Linked DNA regions of Schizosaccharomyces pombe. The gene in region 2 interacts genetically with the main gene of each other region. Each region holds a gene or a part of one and is shown on either strand. Other genes may lie near its edges. The genes, in order: ppk14, mug123, pzh1 and irc20.

Region 1 (4,497 bases), on a different chromosome or scaffold from region 2:
GTATAGGGTACTTTACATTTTCTTACGTTAAAGCGGGAGCTTCAACAGTTTTTTGCTGGGAAATTAATCCATGGAGTGTTGAAGCGTTAAGGAGAGCTGCTTTGAAAAATGGCTGGTCTATTTATGTAGTTCGAAATGGAGAAAACTATGAATTTAAAGTAGGAACTCATCGTATTGTAGTTTTTTTGGAAAGCAACGTTTATGCAGCTGAAAGGTTCTCCAAAATGAATATTTCTGCTCGACATATAAATTTGGGAATGCTCCCCTCTAGTGAAAAATCCTGGTCAACCGCTACTTCAATTTTAAAGCGAGAATCACATTCCTTTATACATGTTCATGAGAACGTAAAAGATGAAGATATCGAAACATACTCTTCTGAAGTGAATTCATGTTTTTCAAAAATGTTGGCTAAAAATACAGTTTGTGTTACAAATTGTGTCAAATCATTTTCACCACGAGTGTCACATATCGTTTACGATATAGAGACGGTTTAGTTAATGGTAATTTTGTTAAGGTGGTTTTTGGTTATTTTACAAAATATGTTATTAGAATGGTATATGTTATATTCTGTCTAGAAGTTTATTTAACTTCCTATTGAAAATAGAGAAAGCATGTCTGAATCTGGTAAAAGTAAGGTAGAAAAAAGAAAGACTTTGTGGTGAAAAGGAGAATCTAGTTAAGCGAAATATTTTGTGCCTCAACAACGTATCAATATATGCAATGAATGAAGTCAGCAAATGCTCTTTTAATAATGGATTGATTAAACAAAAAGATGAGAAAAATATCATAGACGTGCGAAAAATTACCATCAATATGCAAGTTACAGGAAGAAAAGAAAATGACCTAATCCCACTCATGATGCACAGTAACTGAATTAAACGATTCGAAGGGATCATCTCCATGATCTGCACCCGATAAATTAGATAGGGGAACTTCAACTGTTTGTGTGTTTTGGGGAGAATGAGTAATATCCAAACTTTTACTTTCCTTTAGATGGGAAATATTAGGATTGCCTTTTTCATCAATAGGGGCAAGCTTTGGAATAATCGGAGGCTCAGTGTGCCTTAATAGAGCCCATTGGACATTTTTAAAAAAAGGATGAAGCTTCACGTCTGCAGCACCAGCCTGTGACCCAAGGCGATCATTTTCATCTTTCACTAATAATTTTCTAATCAAATTCTTGCAAAGGCTGGAAATTGAAGGAGCATCCGCATATTCAGGGAATATAACATCCTTGTGTAAAATATTCGAAAAAGTCATGTTTCTATTTTTACCTTTGAAAGGAGTCGTGGCATATAGCATTTCATAAAATAAAATACCCAAAGTCCACCAGTCAACAGCGCTTGTATGACCACAACCCTTGATAACTTCTGGAGCAATATACTCTTCTGTGCCGACAAATGAATTTGTGCGAAAATCTGCGATACATGATTTTGTATCCAATGCGTAAGCATTTTGAGCGGATGGTGCATTCCTGGCCTGAATTACCGTTGGTGCACCGGCAGAGTTTGATTGTTTAGATAAATCAAAATCAGAAAGCATAATATGTCCTGACTCATGCAACAAAATATTTTCAGGCTTCAAATCTCTATAAATAAATCCCATCAAGTGGAGGTATTCTAATGCAGCGGTAACTTCTGCAATGTAAAATTTGGCCTCGTTTTCTGATAAACAACGGCCAGGACGTCGTTGCAAAGCTCGAAAAAACTCACCTCCCATACAATACTCCATACATAAATAAAGGTATTCATCAGATTGAAAAGAATGATAAAGTGTAACAATGAATGGGTGGTTACTTGTCGCAAGAATGTGCTGTTCTGCAAAAGCTCGTTTGCTTTTGTTGCGTTTAATCATTTCTTGCTTACTCAAAACTTTCATGGCATAAAATTTGCCAGACTTTTTTTCTCTAACAAGATAAACTCGACCGACATCTCCCTTGCCAAGTAGAAAAACCTTTTCAAAGCTAGATGGACCAACCTCAACATCACATATCTTGATAGAGTTGGAAGAATATGTTCTCGCTCTCGTTGCAACAGTTTTCTTAATATGAGCCAATTCTTTTTCCTTCCCATGAGGACTGAAAATATCTTTTAACTTTTCTCGCTGAACTGAGGTATCAGCACCATTACTACGAGAAACATTTCGCGACTTGGGAACATCTTTCTTCTTCCTCCCACTTTTAAAAAACGATTTTTTTATTACGGAAATTGAATCAGTACCACTCCCGTCACCACCTTCTGCGGAACTACCAGTGCCATCAATTTTGCGATCAGACTCTTCCTCGGTCTGCGACTCAGGTGCACCAGAAGGTGATTGATTTGCAGCATCGCTATCTTCCGACGTCAATTCTTTTTCCTTCTTTCGAGAAAAAGCAAACTTTCTGCTATCCTTAAAATGCAGCCTTATGAAGGCTCGAAACTTGGATGGCTTGGCAGTGCCGGAATGTTTCCAGTGTCCTGTGTCATCTTTCTTAGCTTCTTCTAGGTGATCTTCAACATTGATCCTTCCTTCCTCAGAGCTCTCACCATCATGAAGTTCATTCATTTGCTTTTGAAAGTGCTACGAGTCGGTCGCAATACAATTCAATTCCACTGATATTTTTGTGTATGGCGGAAAGTACACCGGATGACATTACTGAGACACTGACACTTATGATATACTAGAAATATAACCGACTGCGTTATCGATCGTTGTACCTCACAAACCGTAAGAGCAATGTTTATATAGCATACAGGAAAATATATGAAGAGCAAGAATCTGTCTATGTTTATTAAACCAAACAAATCAAAAACTATAAGTGAAAGTTATGCATGGATTGCCTAGCTTCATACAAGAGTTTTCAAAAAAGATTTTACATTCTATACTTCCAAATTATAATGAAATGGACTCCTGAAACAGCATTAAAATAACCCAGTCATAGTATACAGTGATGGAAAACATTAAAAAATTATATTCATGAGTAACCCAACATAAAAATGAATAAGATGCCCATGAGGCAACAAAAAGCTTTTTTATTTATTAAAGATCATAACTTACCAACGATCACGAATCAAACCAGTAAAACAAAACAAAGAACTCAATAATTGACCGCTAAGTTTAACGAAGAAATAGCCAAGTTACGTTTCCGTTCAATACTCTTTTCCGTAACAAGTTTGGACCACCGATCAGCAGCCTCTTTAATAAACGAATCGGGTTGAAAAGAGTATTGAACCAAATCACTCAAAAATGAGTAGATGGCAGAAGAGGAATTGCATGCTAAAATTTGTTGCTTTAAAGATTTTAGAATCGTAAGTGCAACTCTAAATAAGCATACATAACCATCACAAAACAACATGTCAAATATTCTAAAAGATATCTAAAAAAAAGTAGTTAGTAAACAATTCATACTTTAATAATCTTTCAAAACCACTTATCGTACATTCGTAGGGAGTGTATCAGTATATACACTTAAAAACCAATGAAATGAAATGGCGTCCAAATCAACCCCAAGTAATTCTAAATGGGAATAGATTTCCGGTAATGACTCTTTCACAAAGCTTTTCAAAACCAGCTGATCAGCTCGCGAAGTCATCAGGTCAGGAGTAAAGTATTTCGGAGGTAAAACGTTTTCAATTATGCTCATTAGCATATAAAACGCGTCTTCTTCTGAAGCATATAATAAAAGAAGAAAGGCACCAATAACATTCATTCCTTGACAATAGCCTATGTGTGGATTGTGGCGGCTATAAGCAACTAAAATTCGTCGTAATTTCGGGATTCCAGGTCCTTTTCCTCCAAAAAATACATTTTTAGCCATAGTCCTGTTAATATCCATATCGATTTGCGCAACACTCGCTGATTCAACCTCATCAGTACGTGATAATAGTTCTTCATAATAGCCAGGTGAATGTAATTGATAAGCGCCTGAGCACTCTAACCAAACTTTAGCTTTATAGCACAAAGGAACACCATTTTTCACAAGTTCACGAAATTTATGCCATCTTTTTTTACCATGACGCCCTTTAACACCTATGCTAGATATTCCTAGTAAACCAATTGTATCCTCATCGGTAATTTTATATTTTTTGTACAAGCGTTGAAAAAACAAGCTCCAGTTTTTTTGTCGGGTACTTTCTTTCATATCCAATAAAATATCTTTTTTATTTAGCAACAATGGAGAATCGTTGAGCCCATCTAACTCGTTGCCAAAAAAATCATCAACCAAGCCATAATTGCTTTCATAGAACGACAGAGTCTGTTTCTGATTTAATTTTATGTCCTCCGGACATAAAGGGGTGTCGTGACTTGGTCGTTTTTGTAAAAAACCAAATTGATCGAGAATTTCCTTGGAATTATTATCTAAATAATCTTTCCAATCATTTCGCATTGAGGGCGGCTGGGTTTCCTTAGGAATCATATTTCCCAACTCCACAGAACCAATTGAAGGCATCGAAGGTGCTGTTGATGAAAGAGAAAGAGGCTTGTTATTTAAATTTGAGGTGCTCAATAGCTTGCTAA
Region 2 (5,167 bases):
AACCTTTTCGACCTTTGACCGTTGCAAAAAGAAAAAAAGGTGGAAGAAATGAAACAGGAAGAATTACTGTAAGGCATCAGGGTGGTGGACACAAACAACGTATTCGTCTTGTTGACTTTGAAAGAAAAGTACCGGGTGTTCATCGAGTGATTAGAATTGAGTATGACCCTGGTAGAAGTGGTCACATTGCCCTTGTTGAAAAATTGAATTCCGAAACAGCCAACAAAAGTTATATTTTGGCTTGTGACGGGCTTCGCGAAGGCGATACAGTTGAGAGCTTTCGATCGCTTTTGAAGACTGGTTCTAATGGCGAGCCAGTAGAAATGGACCCCGTCCTAGCTGCTGAAATTGAAGATGGAACTTTTGCAGCAAAAAATTTGAAGCCAGGAAATTGTTTTCCTCTCAGATTAATTCCTATAGGAACTGTCATTCATGCCATTGGTGTAAATCCAAATCAAAAGGCAAAGCTATGTCGTTCTGCTGGCAGTAGCGCTCGTATCATAGCTTTTGATGGTAAATATGCTATCGTTCGTCTACAAAGTGGTGAAGAGAGAAAGATTTTGGATACATCATTTGCTACCATTGGTGTTGTAAGCAATATTTATTGGCAACATCGCCAGCTTGGTAAAGCCGGTCGTTCACGTTGGCTTGGCATTCGTCCTACGGTTCGAGGTACAGCTATGAATCCATGTGACCATCCACATGGTGGTGGTGGTGGTAAAAGCATTGGTAATAAACCTTCTCAATCTCCTTGGGGTGTTTTGGCTAAAGGTGGATACAAAACAAGAAGAGGTAAAAATGTTAATAAATTACTCGTCCGCGATCGTCCTCGTGGAAAGGAAAAGCGGTAATCATTTTATTAATGATCTCTGTCTTCATGACTTTTACATTTCTATGTTTTACATTACCGTAATGCATTTCAATTTTCATGATCCCTTCTCCATTTTAATAGTCGATGCTATTACCTATCCATTTGTGGACCAGATGCATTTATGTATAGTTATTTTGTGTCGACCGTCATTTATCGACGAAAAATTTTAAGCATTTTTTAAGAGTTTAGCTCTTACAATTTAAATCTGTATTGGTAATTTTTGTTCATCACAACGTTGCTTAAAGCTAAGGACTATCCCATTCAAAATTGTCGTTTGCTTACATCTACCTTAAAAGGGTTATCGATATCATTCAGGTACCAAAAGAGTATTCTATTAAACGCAGAAAAGAACGGTTTTATTTTAATATGGCCAACTAAATAAAAAAATTTTATTTATAAAATTGTAGCTAATTTAGCATATTAATTTTTTCTTGCCTTCGTCCAGCGAAAAGCGACTTAAAAGCGGATAAACTGGGTATTTAATATTTCTCTACAACACAATTAACGCTTGGAAACCCTGGAACGACGGTCTCTCCTTGATTTGCGTGGCTTGCGTCGAACTTGGAATATTCTTTCCATCAGTGTAAGGTCAGACACTTTAGGACCTAGTCGTTCATCTAATGGCGAACCCCTTTCATCTTGATTTCTACTGTGCGAAAGTGTTAGTAATTTGAATATAAAATTGAGTAAAAGGAGATTCTCAAAAGTAGAGGAAATGATTTTTGAAAAGTATGAGTGCACCCGGACTAATTTGGTTTTCACAAGTTATACCTTTTAGATTTGCTCTTCTGAGCCTTTTCTTCTCGAGGATCACCGTGAAACAGATAATATCTCGAGTAAAGATGTGCGCTTTTAACCTTCTTGTCTCCGTAGCGGGCGTAACGTATTTTGAATTGACACGTCGGTACAGTTGGGTGTGGTTTCGTTTGATATTCCAATTCCTCTGAAAATTCTGTCGGAGACTCCATAATTAAATGAAATAAAGCATTTCGTGAAACATCATCATCCGCATAAACAACGTTGCCTATACGCGGTTATAGAGTTAGACTAACCCTTTGCCAGTTTTCGCTTCTTACATTCGTTATCATTAATCCATTCAATTGTACATTGAGATTCAGGAGCATAAGCTGAAATAAATCCTTTGACTTGTTCTTCTGAAAGATTATCGACGCCAGCTAGATGTAAAGCTGTTTTACGCAATGTAGTATCAGCCACCACTTCCGTTTCTAATGGAGTACTAGTGGCGTCGGGTATCAATGATTCTTCTTCAATCTGAGTCTCTGCAACGATATCCATTTAAATCTACTTCTCTACAACTGCTTCGCAGACATGCAGTTTCCAAAAGAGTGAATGTGCCGTCCAAAGAAAATTACGACGCGCTATAATTTGCTATACGAGAATAACGAGAGATGAAAGATCCCTATAGGCAATGTAATCGGTACAGTCTCCTATAATGAGTGAAGATCGGAAGTCAAATGTAATTTGTATTTAAAATTAAGAAGGAAAATGGAGATTAAATCGGCTTTTTGCATGTAAGGCTCGTTTGTGTAAGAATCTACAGTACGCTAAAGCACATTGAATTGCGTATTGTTATTTACAGAAATTTATGGGATATTACAGTAAAACCTAATAAGATTTACCTCTGGGACACCGTATGTTCGAGAATGAGACATGTAAACATAGCTTCCGCACATTTGCAATTTTCAGTACGAAACATTAATTCTTGCGCTTTTCAAAGATATATGAGCTTTGTTTAATTAGTTTTAGCTGATTGCTTAATCAAATAAAAGATTGTCTATCTTAACACCATTCGTTTTCTAATCCCGGCATTTGTCTGTGAAATTTTTAAAAATTAATTGGAATTACTCTACAAGCAACTTATTCAAAGAAGGAATAAATAGATAATAATCATTACTAGACAGAAGACTAATCGCATGGAACGTTTAGCTACTCGATCGAGCCATGATGATCCATATTCGAGGTCTTCCCTTCCAACTTCGAATGCCATTAATAGCAACCATGAGTCAAATGGTTCTACTTTTTCTTACGTACAGAGTTTACGCCGTGCAAAGGCGACTGTCTGGAGTGATATAGGCCGTGTGGCTCCTTTACACTCTAGCCCATCAATCAAAAGTTCATCACAAAATGGGAAGTCTTCCAGCAAAGGCTTAGGAGGCATGCGCTCAAGGGTATTTTCTAGCCAGCATCATGGTGTTTATCACACCCGTCCTGCTTCGCTTCATTCACGTACAATGGCTCCTCAGCACACCATTCTTACTCCACGATTATCTGCTACCGAAGGTAAGGATGACGATGAGGACGAATTGGTAATTTCGACATCGAATACTGCACCAACATATATCTCAATGATTGAGTCTTCACGTGCCAGCTCAACCCATAGTGGGACTGCACCTTCCATTATGGGAATGTCAATACATTCAAGAGCAGACTCCAGAGCCGAAACTACTCAATCAGACGGCTTTGAATCTCGTAGCGGATCACCTACTCATGATATTCAATCTTATCTTGTCAATCGACGAAGCAGCAGTTCTGAATCTTCAGACGAGGACAGTGCTGAAGAAGGAATGAAACGTCTAGTAATCACAAATATGGGGGACAATGATGAATTCGATAGCGATTAGTGCAGTTATTTTTCCATCGATATCTGATAAAGTATTATTATTTATTATGGTGCTATTCCCTCACCTAGTTTAATTGCTTTAATTCGTTTACTTTTATTCGCATTCTTTGGCATAATCAAGCATTCCTTCCCCTTTCTGTTCTATTACGTATTTCTTTCATTTAAAACCCGGCATTGTCAGCTAGTCTCACATCTTTAATCAAAACATGAAATAAACTATATCAATATTATCATCATTCTATTTTTATTCATTTGAAAGCTATTCGGTGCTTCCTGTTTTAATGTAACATGAATATCAATAACATTTTAATTATAGAACCTATAATGGTTTAGGTAGTGTGGAAAATTGGGTAAATATTTTAAAGTCCGAGATTCATAGATTAAATTGTTCAAAAACAAATATTTTATGCCCAACGAAGACTATTCTAGCAGACCAAGAAGCAATGAGGTATCGTTTTCCTTCATTATCTTTTCAGCCATTAAACTGCCAACGTTCTTCTCAAGAAGACCACTAGCATTTGGCGGAAGAGTTCGTTGATTTGGTAATTGATCATCCCGCAGTAATAGCAAAGCGTCGTACAAAGCATCCATACATTTATTGGCCTCGTAAATCTCCTCTTCATTTCCTTTTTCCAAGGTTTTCCGAACTAGGACTTCGTAAACTTTGATATTGGGAACGACGAGGACTCTAATAGCTTCTTTCCCCATAGTTTTTAAGCCTTTGATGGCACCATAATGAGTGGAATATGGCTTGGTGTTATCCAAAAATGCTTTGAGTGCCGTGCGAGTAACGCGAGGCTTTAATGTATAATACACATTACCAAATCGATCACAAACAATCCCGAGTAAAAAAGCAGCTAAGTCTCTTAGTGCATAATGCTCGTGATTATTAGGATCACTGCCAAGGCGCTTCGCGACCAAACAAGTAAGGATGGATGGCATGAGTTGTTGGACGTAAGGCTCTACAAAAAGGTTGGGGTTATCAAGAAGGGCCCAGGCCATGTGCATTAAAGTAGTAAGAACCACAAGATTTCCTAAGTTTCGAGTTACAGAATCCGATAAAAACATTATGAAGTATGGTAAAAGTTGGTGTAATCCGGGGTCGTCACGTAAACTCGATAGGGCAGCATCACGGAGCTCAACATTAGTTTCATCAAGCAATGCACTGGTAATACGCTCAAAATAAAGCTGTAACTCTTTGGATAGCACATGTCGCACCAACGGTTTTATCTCAACGTTGTCCATCGAAGTGACACCGTTTCGAGCTTCTTTAGCAGCAGTTGAAGCACCTGGCATAACCCCTGAAGTACCCTTGGATGCCCATTCTCCAACTGTGTGATCTGAGGGAGTTGGATTTTGAGGAATGGCTGGCTGCACACCTTCGATGGCCAGCCAGTGTGCACTGTAAGAAATGTTTCTAGGGACTTTAGGGAGAGGAGCGTTTATGATTTTTTCAAAATCCACTTCCTCATCATCAAGGTAGTAAAGGGAATTTTGGCCTGCACCTACAGCGGCTTCATGAAATTCTAATGGACGAGAATTATTGAAGCCGTATAACGGCTCAACATTCAACGTCCGTAACGCTGAAGAGATATCTGCGCTAGTTAAAACAGTTCTTTTAGAATGAACCATAAACTTAGTGGCTTCCTAAATCA
Region 3 (6,056 bases), on a different chromosome or scaffold from region 2:
CTGAGTTCTCGGATAGCGATTATGACACAAATGAACAGGTGTCAACCGCTTTTGAAAAAATACGAAATGAAGAGGAACCAAAGTTAAAAGGTGTACTGGGCATGAAATTTATGCGTGATGCGTCCAATCGACAAAAGGCTTTAGTGCAAGATGAAATGCAAGCATTCGAAGACGAACTCGCAGGAGTACCCAATGAAGATGATACATCTCAAAAAGGAGAGGACGGGGTTCCTGGAGTATTAATAGGGAATAATACAGGCCGTCGTTCATTTAAGCCTTCCGAAGAAGCTGCAAAATTATCTTTGCCATCAAGGAAAAATCCCTTTGTTTCTGATTCAGCGGTGCTGAAAGTCAACAAACCGGAAATGAAGGAAGGACAAAAGAAGGCCGAAGCTCGAAAAAAAAAGGAATCACCATTAGAAGCAACTGAGGAAACTAATCCATGGTTGCAAGTACCTGACCAAAGGACCTCTTCTGCCAAAAAGTTGGATAAAAACAGCTCTAAGGCAGACAAAAAGAATCACAAGTTAAAAATGGACAAAGTTGCCTCCCTTCAAGAACTTGTCGAAGAACCTAAAGTTCAGCCTGATTTAATTTTTGAAGAAAAGGCTTTTGAATCAGCGTCGGAAGCGGAATCGGATGTTGATGTTTCGGTACCTATGTTAAAGCCAACCAAAGGTCGTTTGTCAATTAAGCAGAGAGAGCTTGTTGCTAAAGCATTTGCTGGCGACGATGTTGTCGCTGAATTTGAAAAGGATAAAGAAGACTGGGTTCAAGAGGATGCACCGAAAGAAGAAGATCATAGTTTGCCCGGTTGGGGTTCATGGGGAGGTGTTGGCGTAAAACAAAGAAAGACTAAGCCTAAGGTTAAAAAAATTGCTGGACTAGATCCGTCAAAGCGGAAGGATTCTAAGCTAAAGCATGTGATTATTAATGAAAAACGCAACAAGAAAGCTGCTAAGCTTACTGCTGATAGTGTTCCGTTCCCATTTGAATCACGAGAACAGTATGAACGATCTCTTAACTTGCCTATGGGACCAGAATGGACTACTCGAGCTTCACATCATAAGGCTGTTGCTCCCAGAGTTGTTACCAAACGTGGTAAAGTCATTAATCCTATTAAGGCACCTAATTAGATTCTTATATGTACATTGAGTTTTGGATTTTTGTTATTAGATTGATATCTTTTGCAGTAGATTAGATACATTTGTAATGGATTTTGGGATATTGGGAAGAAATATATATTTTGAGGTAAATACTTTAAACAAGAAAAAAATTAATTCAATACAAATATATTAATATCATGAGGAAAATTAATTAAAATGGTTATAATTTACTTCGTTTTCTCCCGGAGTAAAGATAAGTGATTATAATTTGTTTCACAGCATCCACCGAGTATCAGGTTTCCATTATGTAGATTTGAGTATTTAGCCGTTATAGTTGACCATTCTTCAGGTGAAGGGGCAGGATGATCTGTTGAGCCAGGTGAAAAAGTACCGTCTGGATTTTGATACAACCCGCGGCCGTCAGGGTACAAAATAGCAGTTATGTTGGATGGTAAAAGACTGGATAGCATTTTTGCGATGGGTTCGAGTAAACTGAGGTGAAAGCAATTAACACCGATGCCCCATATAGAGTCATGATTGATGCTCAGTATCTTGGAGATAATGGACGATACTCGTTCAATAGTGCTGCGCTCAGGGCACGTACAGGTGATCCAGCAACGCTTAGACCAACCTTTCATATCTTGAATGAGTTGGCATACTACTTCTGCTTCAGTCACGTGAGGAAGGCTTTCAAATGCAATGAAGTCAATTTTTTCGAAAGCTTTAGGATTAGATGCTTGAATGGCTTCAATTCTGTTTTTATGAAAATTGTATAGCATTTCAAAATCGGTGGGTTTATCATAAATCATTTTGTATTCCATACATCCAGGAATAGTAGCAGCATGACTTCCGAGACATAAAGCAATATATTTGTTGGGCAAACCCAAATGTTCTCTAGCATAAACAGGTAACCCAATGCTGTTTGCGTAAACCTGTTTTAATGGTACACCTTCTACCTTTTCGTCGTAGATAGAAGCATCCAGTTGATAAGTGAAAGTACTAATAATGTCGCAAACTTTTAAAAATTCTTCATGATGCTTAACAACGATCTCTGGATAACGCACCAGTGCTTCAGAGGTCCATAATCTAGACTCAGATATACTTTCAGGAAGCTTTGGAAGAATGGCAGTAGAGCCACCGTCTAACATAAGCATTTTGGAAAACTCAAAAATTGGGAAAAATAGTTCAACGAACAGCAAAAATGGTATCTCAGGTTATACACTAGTATTAACAGATGTAACTGCCTTTTGATGGATATTACAACAGTTTAGAGAATATCGCACAATCAGAAACCCAATCGACCCAAAACAAAAACATTTGAGTAAGAATCAGACTAGTATATAACGTAACGCGAAATTTTTCCATATTTAATTTAACGTTAATTTACGTGGATCAATTGCGCCTTTTATTTTACTTTGGAATACACTGCAGTTATTATACAGTAAGTGCGCCATCATCGTTGCACCACACTAGATGGACCCAGCGAGTTCAGTTCTCGAGTAAGATGGAACGGGCTACTACGTCTATCAGATTTATACTACACTTCCCATCACTTGTTAACCCATTCTTCACCACGACCTTACAAATTTTTAAACGATTGTGTTTTGTCAGCAAAGCAAAACATTTTTATAGACCAGGATTACTTGAAGAAGAGAAAATCTACTAATTTACGGAAAATATCGAAAAATAGAAAAAATCTAGGTACAATTGGGAAACCTTTTAATTTTGGCACTAAATGCAAGCAACGAAGTCTCGATTTTGAAGTAAAAAAGAAAATAAAAATAGAACAAAGTGGAATAGTTTCCCGGAATCTACCATTAATTGAAATACAATGGGACAGGGGAGCAGTAAACACGCCGACAGCAAGCTCGATTCCTACCCATCCTTTTCTCGGTCAGACACTCAAGGATCCATTAAGTCTTTAAAGTCTCTGAAAACAGTCCTGGGGAAGGGCAAAGACTCGAATCATGATCGCCGAACGTCTACTGATACAACCCATAGTCGTCACCGGTATCCCGAAACACCACCAAGCCTTCCTCCTCCTCCTTCTCCTGGGATATTAGCTACATCTCCGGCTGTGTTGCAAAAGCATCAACAGGAGGATTCGGGAAATTCTTCTCAATCTCCGACGTCGCCGCATCCTTCTAACCAGCCTGCCATGCTTAGTCCCTCTACGGCCGCTTCCCAGCATCATCATCATCATTCTTCTTCTTCTTCTTATGCCGTTTCTCCAACATCACCTACCTCACCAACCAGCTCTGGCCCAATTGGCTCCAACTTTGATTCAGCTTCTGAGCATAATGGTCCTGTGTATCCACAAGATCAGCAGGGGCCCGTAATTATCCCTAATTCGGCAATTTCTTCTACGGATCCTGATGATCCTGAAACAGTTGTTAGCCTTAACGTAGATGAAATGATTCAAAGATTGATCCATGTTGGCTATTCTCGAAAAAGTAGTAAAAGTGTGTGTCTAAAGAATGCTGAAATTACCAGCATTTGTATGGCCGTACGAGAAATATTTCTTTCGCAGCCGACACTTTTAGAATTGACCCCGCCGGTGAAAATCGTTGGTGACGTTCATGGTCAATATTCCGATTTAATTCGACTGTTTGAAATGTGTGGGTTTCCTCCGAGCTCTAATTATTTATTCTTAGGCGATTATGTCGATCGTGGTAAGCAGAGTCTTGAAACCATCCTCTTGCTCTTTTTGTACAAGATCAGATATCCAGAAAACTTTTTCTTGCTACGGGGCAATCATGAATGCGCTAATATCACTCGCGTTTACGGTTTTTACGATGAGTGTAAAAGACGTTGCAATATCAAAATTTGGAAGACTTTCATAAACACCTTTAATTGCTTACCCATTGCGTCCGTTGTAGCCGGTAAAATTTTTTGCGTTCATGGTGGTCTTTCTCCATCGTTAAGTCATATGGATGACATACGGGAGATTCCTCGTCCTACTGACGTTCCTGACTATGGATTGCTGAATGATTTGTTATGGTCAGATCCTGCTGATACTGAAAACGATTGGGAAGATAATGAACGAGGTGTTTCTTTTGTTTTCAACAAAAACGTTATCCGGCAATTTTTGGCCAAGCACGACTTTGATTTAATCTGTCGTGCTCACATGGTTGTTGAAGACGGTTATGAATTTTTTAATGACAGAACTTTATGTACGGTGTTTTCTGCCCCTAATTACTGTGGGGAATTTGATAATTGGGGGGCCGTGATGAGTGTTAATTCAGAGCTGCTTTGTTCCTTTGAACTTATAAAGCCTCTCGACCAGGCAGCAATTCGACGAGAATTAAAAAAGAGCAAGCGTAGTGGTATGGCTATTTATCAATCTCCCCCTGCTGAGCAGGTTACCCAAAGCGTGTAAGCATTCTATTTTTTCTATTTTGGTCTCCATTTGAAATTATCTAGCGGTTTTATTGGGACACTATTTTATTCTCTTAAATGAGTATTATCTGTTATTATGTTATAGTCACTATGGTGATGGATCAAGTCCTTGGTTCACTTTATCGGTTCGAGGGCAATTCCATCCTGACACGTTTAGTATAAGTTTCTGTTTCTTTTAATAAAAACACAATCATTTCCATATAGTGACAGTTAACTTGCTTTTTATTTTTGCTAACCGACACCTGCTGAACATCGAAAGAGTAGGTAAAAAATTTACATGAGGAGGAAATAAACAATTATTATAGTATTATTATTAGCATTAAATAAATTTAAAGCGAAAATGTATCCATTTCTTTGTAAATCTTCTATCAATTACTAATCTCCCATACGATGGGCTTAAAACAACACTTTGAAAACTAAAGTTGAATGTGGTATCGTACTTAAGTACTTCTTTCCATGATCCATTTGTGATAAGTATTTTGGTTTCCTTATTGTATAATGAGTAAGCTACTTTTGTTGCATAATGCTGCCAAGTAGGCAGTTCTTTGATAAATCTCCTGCGTTGTTTTGTTTGTGTCAGCTTTTTCGTTCAATCAAGATATTTTATCACATTATTTCAAGGTTCAATGAATCATTCGAAGAATAGTAACGAATTCAGATATATTAAATAAAGGCACACATAATCTCTAAAGATTACAGTTTAATGGCTCTTTCAAAGTGTTTAGTAATATATACACTAAATTTCTAAAATTCAGTAGTTATGGCGAAGTGGCCGAGTGGTCTATGGCGCTAGCTTCAGGTGAAAGCAATTGCTAGTCTACGTATGTGGGCGTGGGTTCGAACCCCACCTTCGTCAATATAATTTTTTATATCATGTTAATGGAATTGAGAAAAAGCAAGCTGTCAGTTTATACTTTCAATGTTATGCAGAAACCGTTTTATTTCAATTATTTACACTGTTTGACACTACTAAAGCAGAGTTAATTGTAATGAGACATAACGGTACATGGTGCTTCGACTTTCATAACCATTAAAGAAAAGAAGAATGTCTTGATTTTGGCTTATTTAAAGACCCATTGTGACTGGAAAAACAAATGACCCTACGTAGTAAAGGGTAAAATGAATTTTTTTTAATTTTTTTTTTAGATTCAATGTAGAAATATAATCGATTATCAGATTCATTGTCATGCCTGATAATCCATGTATGATACTATGCAAAGATATAAAGAGAATTTTCTTCTTTTTTAAAAGTTGTTTTAAAGATAGAGGATGTTGTTTTTAAGCTGCTGAAACTGAATAATATAAGAAATCTAACGAGCAAGAGAATGCTCGACTTATGTTTACAATATTATATAGCTAAATATCTTAAGTTCTTATTATATAACTTTATACAGTACAATGATACTTTTCAATATTATATAAGTATTTACCTCTTTTGATCAGATACAAAGTATCTTTCAAGAGAGCTTGTTTTCTACTGACTGTTTCGTCTTTAAAATAAGTTGATTGGGAATAAATTGTATTAATTTTTTTTATCCCTCGCAAATATCG
Region 4 (8,804 bases), on a different chromosome or scaffold from region 2:
ATGTAGTAAGAGAAAAGAGATTATGCAATGTAGAATAAACTTACACCGATCTTTAAAATAATTTAATCAAGGATATCCGTATCAAGGTACACAATGCGACTGGTTTTAAAACCGTTAAAACAGCTAGCAGCTGCAACAGTGTAAGCTCCCGCATCTTCAAAATATATCCAGTCACCGACGTTGAGCTCATAAGGAAGATGGGCATCGTTAGCTATCACATCCAATGAATCGCAAGTAGGACCCCAAATAAAACAACGATGTTGGCCGGTGCCAACCAAATCATTGTACACAAACCGACTTCCACACTTTAGAACTCGAGCAACTGGATGTTGATGGTCAAACAAAATACAATTAAGGCTACCATAAACACCATCGTTTACGTAATACATCACCTTCTCTTCATCATCAAGCTTCCGTTTGGCAATTACATTGACAGCCAAAGTAAACGAAGAAGAGACGAAAAAGCGACCGGGCTCAGAAATAACACGGATGGAGGGATCAAAATAAGTATCCAAGGCAGAGCGAATAAGGTCTGCTACGCCATCAAAGCTGTCATTCATGAAACCACCACCAATGTCCAACAAGTCAAAATTAAATCCCCTTTCAAGTCCCTGATCAAATACCTGACGAGATCGTTGGATAGCATCCAAAAATGCTGAGGGATCATAGCTTCCTGACCCAACGTGAAAGCTAACACCGACGACATTTAACTCCAGGGACTTTGCGATGTCTAGCAGCTTACCAGTATCATCGAGAGAAGCACCAAACTTTAGACTGAGACGGCAAAGACTATTGGAATCATCGGTAGAAATACGAAGAAGAAGACGTGAGTTGGGATGATGTTGTTTCACCTTGTACAGCTCATCGGCATTATCAAAAGTCATCAGATTAATGCCTTTAGAAGCAGCATAGCGCACATAAGTTATGGCTTTACAAGGATTGGCGTATACAATTCGATCAGGGGATACACCTAAGCCAAGAATTTGTTCGAGTTCACCCTTAGAAGCACAGTCAAAACCAGTTCCAAATTTATTAAGCAATGCAAGTACCTTAGGATCAGGATTACATTTGACTGCATAAAATGGTTGAACACGAGGTAATTTAGCATGCCAACGAAGAAGTTGGCGATATACTCCGTTCAAATCAGCAACAAAAAATGCATCAGAGTCAGCGGGTTCACCACGGACAGCTGCACGCTCAATTTCCTCAATCGTGTTTTTAAACGCCTCACCAATCGCCTGGCGAGACGATCCAGGCGAAGACCATGTCACCACTGAGTCAATTGGTTTAACATGGCCAAGTAATTCCGTCGTACGCAACGACTCGCTGACGAGCATATTCTTTTCCATAATAGCAGGCATCGTGTAAGTAAGCTTTTTCTCTTCTAGAAATTCCGAGATCACTAAATTGAATCGTTGAATAATTTTTCTTCGGATACAAGCTAAACAAACGTTTTGTTTGTCAACTGCTCGCTTTACAATAATTTTACTATTTCAAATCAATCAATGATTTGAAATCTGCTGTTGATCAAAAAGTCCTTATTCGAGAGATTGTCTTAAATAGGAGACGTAGACGGAAATTTGCACTTTTATATACTTTTGGTGGTCGCGCAAAAAGAGCGTTTATCCTTCCAGATTCTTTTTCTTACCCACTTGTCACTGTTTTCTGCTAATTCCCAATCGTGTTGTTGGTTAAGGGTAAGTTCAATTTTGCAATGTGTGCGTACATAAAAAAATATTACACACTAGTAGAATTAACCTTAGTTTAGCGTTTGTCTTATTGACATAATAGTCTAACAAATCGAATTGCAATGTAATACGGTAAACGCAGTTTGGTTTAACAATATTTGCGACGACAAGAATCCTTCAAACTAGGATATTTCTTTAATATGTATACAATCTTTAGTTTATATTTTGTACTTTAGTTTATGACAATAACAATAATCTTTGTCCAGTGAAGGTGACATCACTTTTAAAAACTTTCCTACCAGTTTACGTTTTATTTAGAATTTATATTTTTTTGCTAATTGAATTAAACTTGGTAATCGATATATACTTAAAGGATGAGCACAGTGTTTTAGCAATAAGGAATAGTGTGTTTGTACAATACCGAGTAAAAAGGGCTCTTTCTTTTAGCCAGCAAATGAGATATTAAGTGTATCGGTAATTTTAATAGTATTTACAATTTACTTACTAATTAACGTAGATGTTATTTCTTAGGTAATTTTGAGTTCTAATTCGTGTTTGTACTGATTCAACCGTGAATAATAGAATTCCCTTACAAACGATTTATCGATATTTACCTTGTCGTACTTTTAAACCAAAAAAAAAAAGAGGGAAGAAAGGTGGGGAAAAAATACCAAAGTAATATTCGACTCTGCAAGCTTTAGCAAAAAAAAAGTGGCACATGTTTTAATCAAGACACTTTTTGCCCACAACTAAGAACAAAAGCACATAACACAATGCCTACCCTTTTGTGTTCTTGAGGGTTTATATATTTTCGTTTATTTCTTTGTACATTAAAGAATTCTATTCATTCTAAAATTTTTAAGTCTATTGGTTCAAAACACGACTGTATTTAATTAAGAGAGGGAACATTATGGACCGAACTAAGAGGCGAAAAATAGAGAAGGAGGCTTCCTTACTAAATGAAAGAAACAACCTTTTGGAAAGTGATTTCGCCAATTGCTACCGTGCATTCCAGCACCAACTCAAGCTAGACCAGCAGATATGGCGTGGACCAGAGGACGAGTTAAATCGGCTAAAGTCTACTATTTATCCTGTCGTTTTTTGGGTTGATGGATCTGAGAAACTACATGCATATAGTTTTACTCAAAGAAAAATTTCATTGGCCAAAAACTTGATTCCTTTGTTTTCTGTCGACTTGAATAAGGATACTTACTCTGCTTTAAAAGCACCTCTCAAAATTTGGAGTAAGCTTTGGGAGGATAATAGGCGGCTGAAGAAAATTATAAAATACACATCTTATGTTACTGTAAAAGGATCCGAGTTAATTTTGTCGTTTGGCATTTCCATACTCGACTCTTTTCTTGCCCCTCAAGATGCGATTCTTTCATCTGGATCATCTTCCTCATACACTGCTTTACTAGACTATACGTTCCTTCCGTCTGAAGATGAGGAATATTCTTGTTTAGATATTAACACTGCACTATTTTACGATTGTGCAAGAAAATTGGCAAAAAGCCTACGTTTCGCCAATGTATCACGCGATCCAAGGCTTTCTTCGGAACTTTTACCATTTCAAATGCGTGTTTTAGAATGGATGAAACGAAGAGAAGAAGAGAAATTCCTAACCTCAAATGATTTACCACCTCTATGGTACCATTGCAAAAGTCTTTTTGATGATCGAATGGTTTACGTTAATCATGTTTACGGCTATATGACATTTTCGAAAGAAAAAACATATTTGCTTGCGTCCGGTGATATACGTGGAGGCATTTTAGCCGATGAAATGGGCATGGGAAAAACTTTGGAAGTCTTAGGATTAGTTTTGCATCATCAGTTGCCAATTTCTTTGACTGATACTTGTACTTTCGATCAGGTCGTCGGAAAAAATGTAAAGTATTCCAAGGCCACCCTAATAATTACGCCTTCTACAATTCTCGATCAATGGTTATCTGAGATAGATTTGCATGTGCCATCATTGAAAGTATTCCATTACCAAGGAATCCGAAAATCCAATGGTTTGAAATCAGCTAAAATTTTTTTGGATTGTGATATAGTGGTAACATCTTATTCTGATTTACGGTTTGAGCTATTGTACACTGAATCTCATTCCAGGACCTTAAGACATGAAAAGCGACATGTTTCTCCAAAGTCTCCATTGATTGATGTATGTTGGTGGAGAATTTGTGTTGATGAAGCTCAGATGGTTGAAACTTCACAGAGTAATGTCGCACAAATGATTTATCGCATACCTCGTGTCAATTGTTGGACTGTAAGTGGAACTCCCGTACGTAGTGAAGTTGATGACCTTTTTGGCCTTTTATTTCTTCTTCGCTACTCCCCTATGTATTTATACAAAAAACAAGCTTGGATGCAAATTATAGAGAAGAAACGTGTTCGTGAATTTTGCGATCTGTTTGGCTCCCTTGTATGCAGACATTCTAAACAGGACGTTGAAGAAGAATTAAAATTACCTCCTCAACATCGAATCTGCATGACTACAAGACTTAGTGTAGTAGAAGAAACGAACTACCAGGATTTATTATCAGAGGCGGCCAAGTCTTTGCACTTTTTCAAAGACAGAAATTTGGATTTGTGTGACGAAGAATCTATGAGGCGTTGGTTGGTTCGTTTACGACAGGCATGTTGCCATCCGCAGGTTGGATTTGGTAACAAATCCGCATTTGGAGGTGGACCCATGAAAAGCATTAATGATGTATTAGTTTTTATGTTGGAACAAACAAACTCTACATTCTCCTCGTTAAACAGGAAGCTTTATTCCGATAAGATTATTGTTGGTCAAATATATGATCATATTAAAGACTATAATAAAGCATTGGCTATTTGGTCTGAAGTCAGAATACCTGTCGAGCTCGCTGTCAAAGAATTAGAAAATGTTATTTACAACTCTAAATATGAGGACCATGGTAAAAATTTACCGATTAATTATTTTGGTTTGGATCATTTCATTCATCTGCGTGTTTGGTATGTTCTATTGCATAAAATATACTTTTTTATAGCAAGCGCTTATTTTTCTTTAAAAAACGAAAAGTTTGAAAATGAATTTTATTTGCTCGCGCAGGATTTAAGAAGGAAGATTATGAGTGATGTGATTATCAAAACCAGCAAGCACCTTGAAGAGTTTTCAGAAAAATTTATTCCAAAGAAACTTGTCAAAATACCACGATTACAGAAATCTTACGCAAAAGGTCTCATAACCGGACATGGTATAATTGAAGACTATAATAGACTTTATAAAGAGTTGAATGATCAAAAGGAGGTGCTTATAAAATTTAGAGATCGGCTTATCCATTTGATGAAACTTCCACTTCTGGATCAAGAATCGGATCCGACCGGCGATGAATACGAAGAATCATTGAATGCGCAATCAGAGATATCCTATTGTATTGATGTTTACCGTCAAATGCTTTCAGATCGAGTAGCGGCAGTCAGCGGTACTATTAATACCTTTGTGTCTCATGAAACAGAACTTGAGAAATACAAACTTATAGAGAGTATAAAAAAATCGGAGAAATCGTTAGACAAGCAGGCTGAAGAACGTGATAAAAAATATTTGCTTTACTTTGAGGAAAGGGAAGAAGCAAGGCCAAAAGCAGATCAATACGGATCATTAATAAATATAGTTTCAAGACTGTTAGATGCATCAAATAGATCCACCTCAAGTTTTGAAACTTCTAAAAACATGGAAGAATATGAACGGATTGATGCAATGGCAAAGGAGCAATCTAGAATTTGCCAAAAATTGGAAAAAGAATTGAGTATAATTCAGTTGACTTATAATTCAAGGATTGAGTACTATAAACAGCTGCAGGAAATTTCTGACTCTTTGATGCCTCCTCCCGTTTCAAATATCAGTTTAAACAATTACGTTAAAGACGACGAAAAAAAACAAAAATTTTTGAACTCTGTTATAATTAAAGCTTCGGTGATTTTGGAAAAAGAAATTTCAGAAAAGCAGGACGAAGCAAGTCAAACAACAAACGTAGCAGAACTCGTCAATCAAAAAATATCCGAAATGAATATACCTGGACATATCCATCTGCTGCGAGAGCTAGAAGAGGAAAAAAGCAATACCCAACGTAAAATTGCTCACTTCGAATCAAGGAGAAGGTATTTAACAAACCTATATGAACATATTGTCCTTAAAGCTGAATCTCATCAGATTTGTATAATTTGTCGTGATATAATTAAGCAAGGTTTTATAACAACTTGTGGTAAGTATTTGTTGGATCGTTTATCTAGTTAACTTGTTAGGCCATTTGTACTGTAGTTTTTGTTTGGAAGCGTGGTTGAAGCATAGTTCGTCGTGTCCAATGTGCAAAACCAAATTGAACAAAAATAATGCTTACTATATTGGCGAAAGTAGGGATATATACTCTCGTCAAGAGTTTGTCACTGGTTTCAACAAACGAGACGAAAGGCTTGAAATTCTCGACGATGAAGCATACAGGCAAATTTCTAATATGGAGTTAAAGGAGTCATTTGGATCAAAAATTGACACAATATCTAAACATCTTTTGGTAAGCAACATTTGTATTTAGAGTGGATCTAACTTTAGTATTTGAAACATAACGAACTTTATCCTAAAGTTGTTGTATTCTCTCAATGGCTTGATGTTTTGGATGTTTTGCACAAGTCATTTGAAGCGAATGGTATCGTCTTCATACGTTTTGATGGAAAGTCAAAGAACACTTGCCTAAAAAGGTTTAAAGAAGAACGTAGCTTACAAGTACTTACTTTACATGCAAGATCGCAATCGTATGTTTAAACTGTTTAATTATTTGTTCTAATCTTCATTAGATCTGGTTTGACGTTAACAAATGCCACTCACGTTTTCATGTGTACGTCGATATCTGTATTAACAAGTTTTAACATTGACAGGTGAACCATTACTAAATAGTGGAATTGAAATGCAAGCAATTTCACGCGTTCATCGAATTGGGCAAACTCGTCCGACGTTTGTTTACTACTACATTGTGGAAGATACTGTTGAAGGTCATATTTTAAATCTTTCATTGACCAAACATGAGCAGCTTGACAAACTAGGTTTGGATGTACCGCTAGTTGGTAATATCAATCGCACTACTGAAGCTAGCAGCGGCGGAGAACAAGTTGATGCCGCAGAAATTAAAGATTGTCTTAAAATGGCTTTAAAGCGGCTCACCACAGAGGATTCATGAACATGAAAAAATTGATTTTAGAGAATGATGCTGATAGGTCAGGTTTAAACAGAATAAACGGCAATACTGTACTACTTATTGGTGACAGTGATGTATGGTTAATCCTGAAGTACCCCTTCGCTCAATACTGTTCAATTATTCATCTGTTATTAAAGCAAAGCACGAAGCATTAGTTGGTTTTCACTGGTTAGATTGTGCAAACACTTAGAGTCCGAATTACAGGAAACTTATACTTAATTTAACATTGTACTGTTGTATTAATTATAACCACTTTTTTAAATACAAACCTATGTAAATATTAGAAATTAATATAGCAAGAAAGGTCGCATTTCTCATTCTGGGTATTGGATTAAAACATATTGTCTTTGTTTTTCATTGATATCAGCGATGTTACTGGGCTATTAAATGCGATGTTAATTTATAACTATAACTATAGAATGAACATACGTTTGTGCTACGAATATACACTCGTTGTTATTAAGTTATCTTTTTTTTTTTAATAAAAATGAACAGGACTATTTGAACTATGAAACGTAAGTTCTTTTAGCATCATATTCAATTATAGTTAAACAAAATTGTTTATTACTATTAAAATAACACTGATTATCTTTGGAGACATACTTTATATCAAATTACAATAATTATTAATAAAACTCATTGCAATTTATTTTTCTCAACTGCGTTAGCTAATTCACTGCTACGCGATATAACTAATTAACGATTGCTGCTTCAGCTCGATAATTCCTTTTCGTCAAGGATACATTGCGATATAGTCTTAAGAGAGCAAACTGCATAAAGCCGGCTTTGGGATATATTTAACTGACTGTTGAATTATAAATTGTCATGGTGTTTGAAAGGACACTAATTGACCTAATTAAAGGGATAAGATCTCATGCAAATGATGAGGAAGCATTTATTGCGACTTGTTTACTAGAATGTCGAAAAGAAGCGACATCGCAGGATGCAGATCTTAAATCAGAAGCAATCTTAAAGCTTGCATATGTTCGTTCAACTTTATTTATAAAGTTACTAACAAAAGTAGCTGGAAATGTTAGGGGTGGATATTAGCTGGGCCAGTTTCCAAATCGTTGAGGTAATGTCTTCATCTAAAATTCTTCAGAAGCAGAAAGGGTATCTAGCTGCTGTCCAGTCTTTTAAACCAGATACAGACGTTTTAATGTTAACGACTAATTTGCTTAAGAAGGTATGTTTTTTTTTAATCTGTAAGTATTTACAAAGCTGACGGTTTTATTAGGATCTAATGAGCTCTAAAGTTCCAGAAATTACTCTGGCCATTGACGGTCTCTCACACTTCTCTACATTAGGCCTTGCGCGTGATTTATACCGAGACGTATTGATTCTTTTAAATCATTCCGTACCGTACGTAAGGAAACGTACAATTTTACTCCTATATCGACTATGCTTGCAGTATCCTGAAGCTATTTCAGCTTGCATTCCAAAATTACGTGAACGATTAGACGACCCTGACACTTCCGTTGTAAATGCTGCTGTCAGTGTAATTTGTGAATTAGCGAGAAGAGCTCCTAAAAATTACCTCGAGTTTGCTCCTGATCTTTTCCATCTTCTTACAACTTCCTCAAATAATTGGATGCTCATAAAGCTTATCAAATTATTTGCTTCCTTGACTCCATATGAACCTCGATTGGTGAAGAAATTGATTCCTTCTTTGACAGACATTATTGAGAATACACATGCGATGTCACTTTTATATGAGTGTATCAACACAATAGTTTCCGGTAATATGCTTGTGGGTCACTCTCAATGCGACAAATTGGCAAGCCTTTGTGCTTCAAAATTACGCGGCTTTTTTGAGGACACTGATCAGAATTTAAAATACATCGCTCTTCTTTGTCTTCGTAAGCTTGCAAATACGCATCCTTCCCTTGTTTCTGCTCAA

What was found.
Region 1: mutations in mug123 (region 2) and ppk14 together harm fitness more than expected from each alone (negative genetic interaction), as found in Schizosaccharomyces pombe (one large-scale study listed by BioGRID).
Region 3: mutations in mug123 (region 2) and pzh1 together harm fitness more than expected from each alone (negative genetic interaction), as found in Schizosaccharomyces pombe (one large-scale study listed by BioGRID).
Region 4: mutations in mug123 (region 2) and irc20 together harm fitness less than expected from each alone (positive genetic interaction), as found in Schizosaccharomyces pombe (one large-scale study listed by BioGRID).

Annotation. Positions count from the first base shown.
Region 1 is NC_003424.3:768,670-773,166, reverse strand, and holds ppk14 (serine/threonine protein kinase Ppk14), read right to left. Parts: upstream 2,628-4,497; 5' UTR 2,545-2,627; coding exon 844-2,544; 3' UTR 501-843; downstream 1-500. Other genes in the region: tRNA 4-demethylwyosine alpha-amino-alpha-carboxypropyltransferase Trm12, read left to right, coding at 1-494; SPOM_SPAC4G8.04 (GTPase-activating protein), read right to left, coding at 3,077-3,355, 3,419-4,497.
Region 2 is NC_003421.2:696,233-701,399, forward strand, and holds mug123 (protein mug123), read left to right. Parts: upstream 1-2,552; 5' UTR 2,553-2,805; coding exon 2,806-3,513; 3' UTR 3,514-3,832; downstream 3,833-5,167. Other genes in the region: rml2 (mitochondrial 54S ribosomal protein uL2m), read left to right, coding at 1-851; RNA cap binding protein cbc3, read right to left, coding at 1,373-1,520, 1,643-1,895, 1,948-2,167; TATA-binding protein-associated factor TAF6, read right to left, coding at 3,933-5,159. UniProt on the Schizosaccharomyces pombe protein: Involved in sporulation and has a role in meiosis.
Region 3 is NC_003424.3:1,526,393-1,532,448, reverse strand, and holds pzh1 (serine/threonine protein phosphatase Pzh1), read left to right. Parts: upstream 1-2,676; 5' UTR 2,677-2,937; coding exon 2,938-4,485; 3' UTR 4,486-4,884; downstream 4,885-6,056. Other genes in the region: U3 snoRNP protein Utp14, read left to right, coding at 1-1,136; SPOM_SPAC57A7.07C (homocysteine methyltransferase), read right to left, coding at 1,334-2,260.
Region 4 is NC_003424.3:4,656,658-4,665,461, forward strand, and holds irc20 (ATP-dependent DNA helicase), read left to right. Parts: upstream 1-2,439; 5' UTR 2,440-2,598; coding exon 2,599-5,920; intron 5,921-5,939; exon of another isoform or gene 5,940-5,960; coding exon 5,961-6,226; intron 6,227-6,264; coding exon 6,265-6,464; intron 6,465-6,506; coding exon 6,507-6,547; intron 6,548-6,587; coding exon 6,588-6,886; 3' UTR 6,887-7,186; downstream 7,187-8,804. Other genes in the region: ornithine decarboxylase Spe1, read right to left, coding at 63-1,361; AP-3 adaptor complex subunit Apl5, read left to right, coding at 7,730-7,888, 7,929-8,090, 8,142-8,804.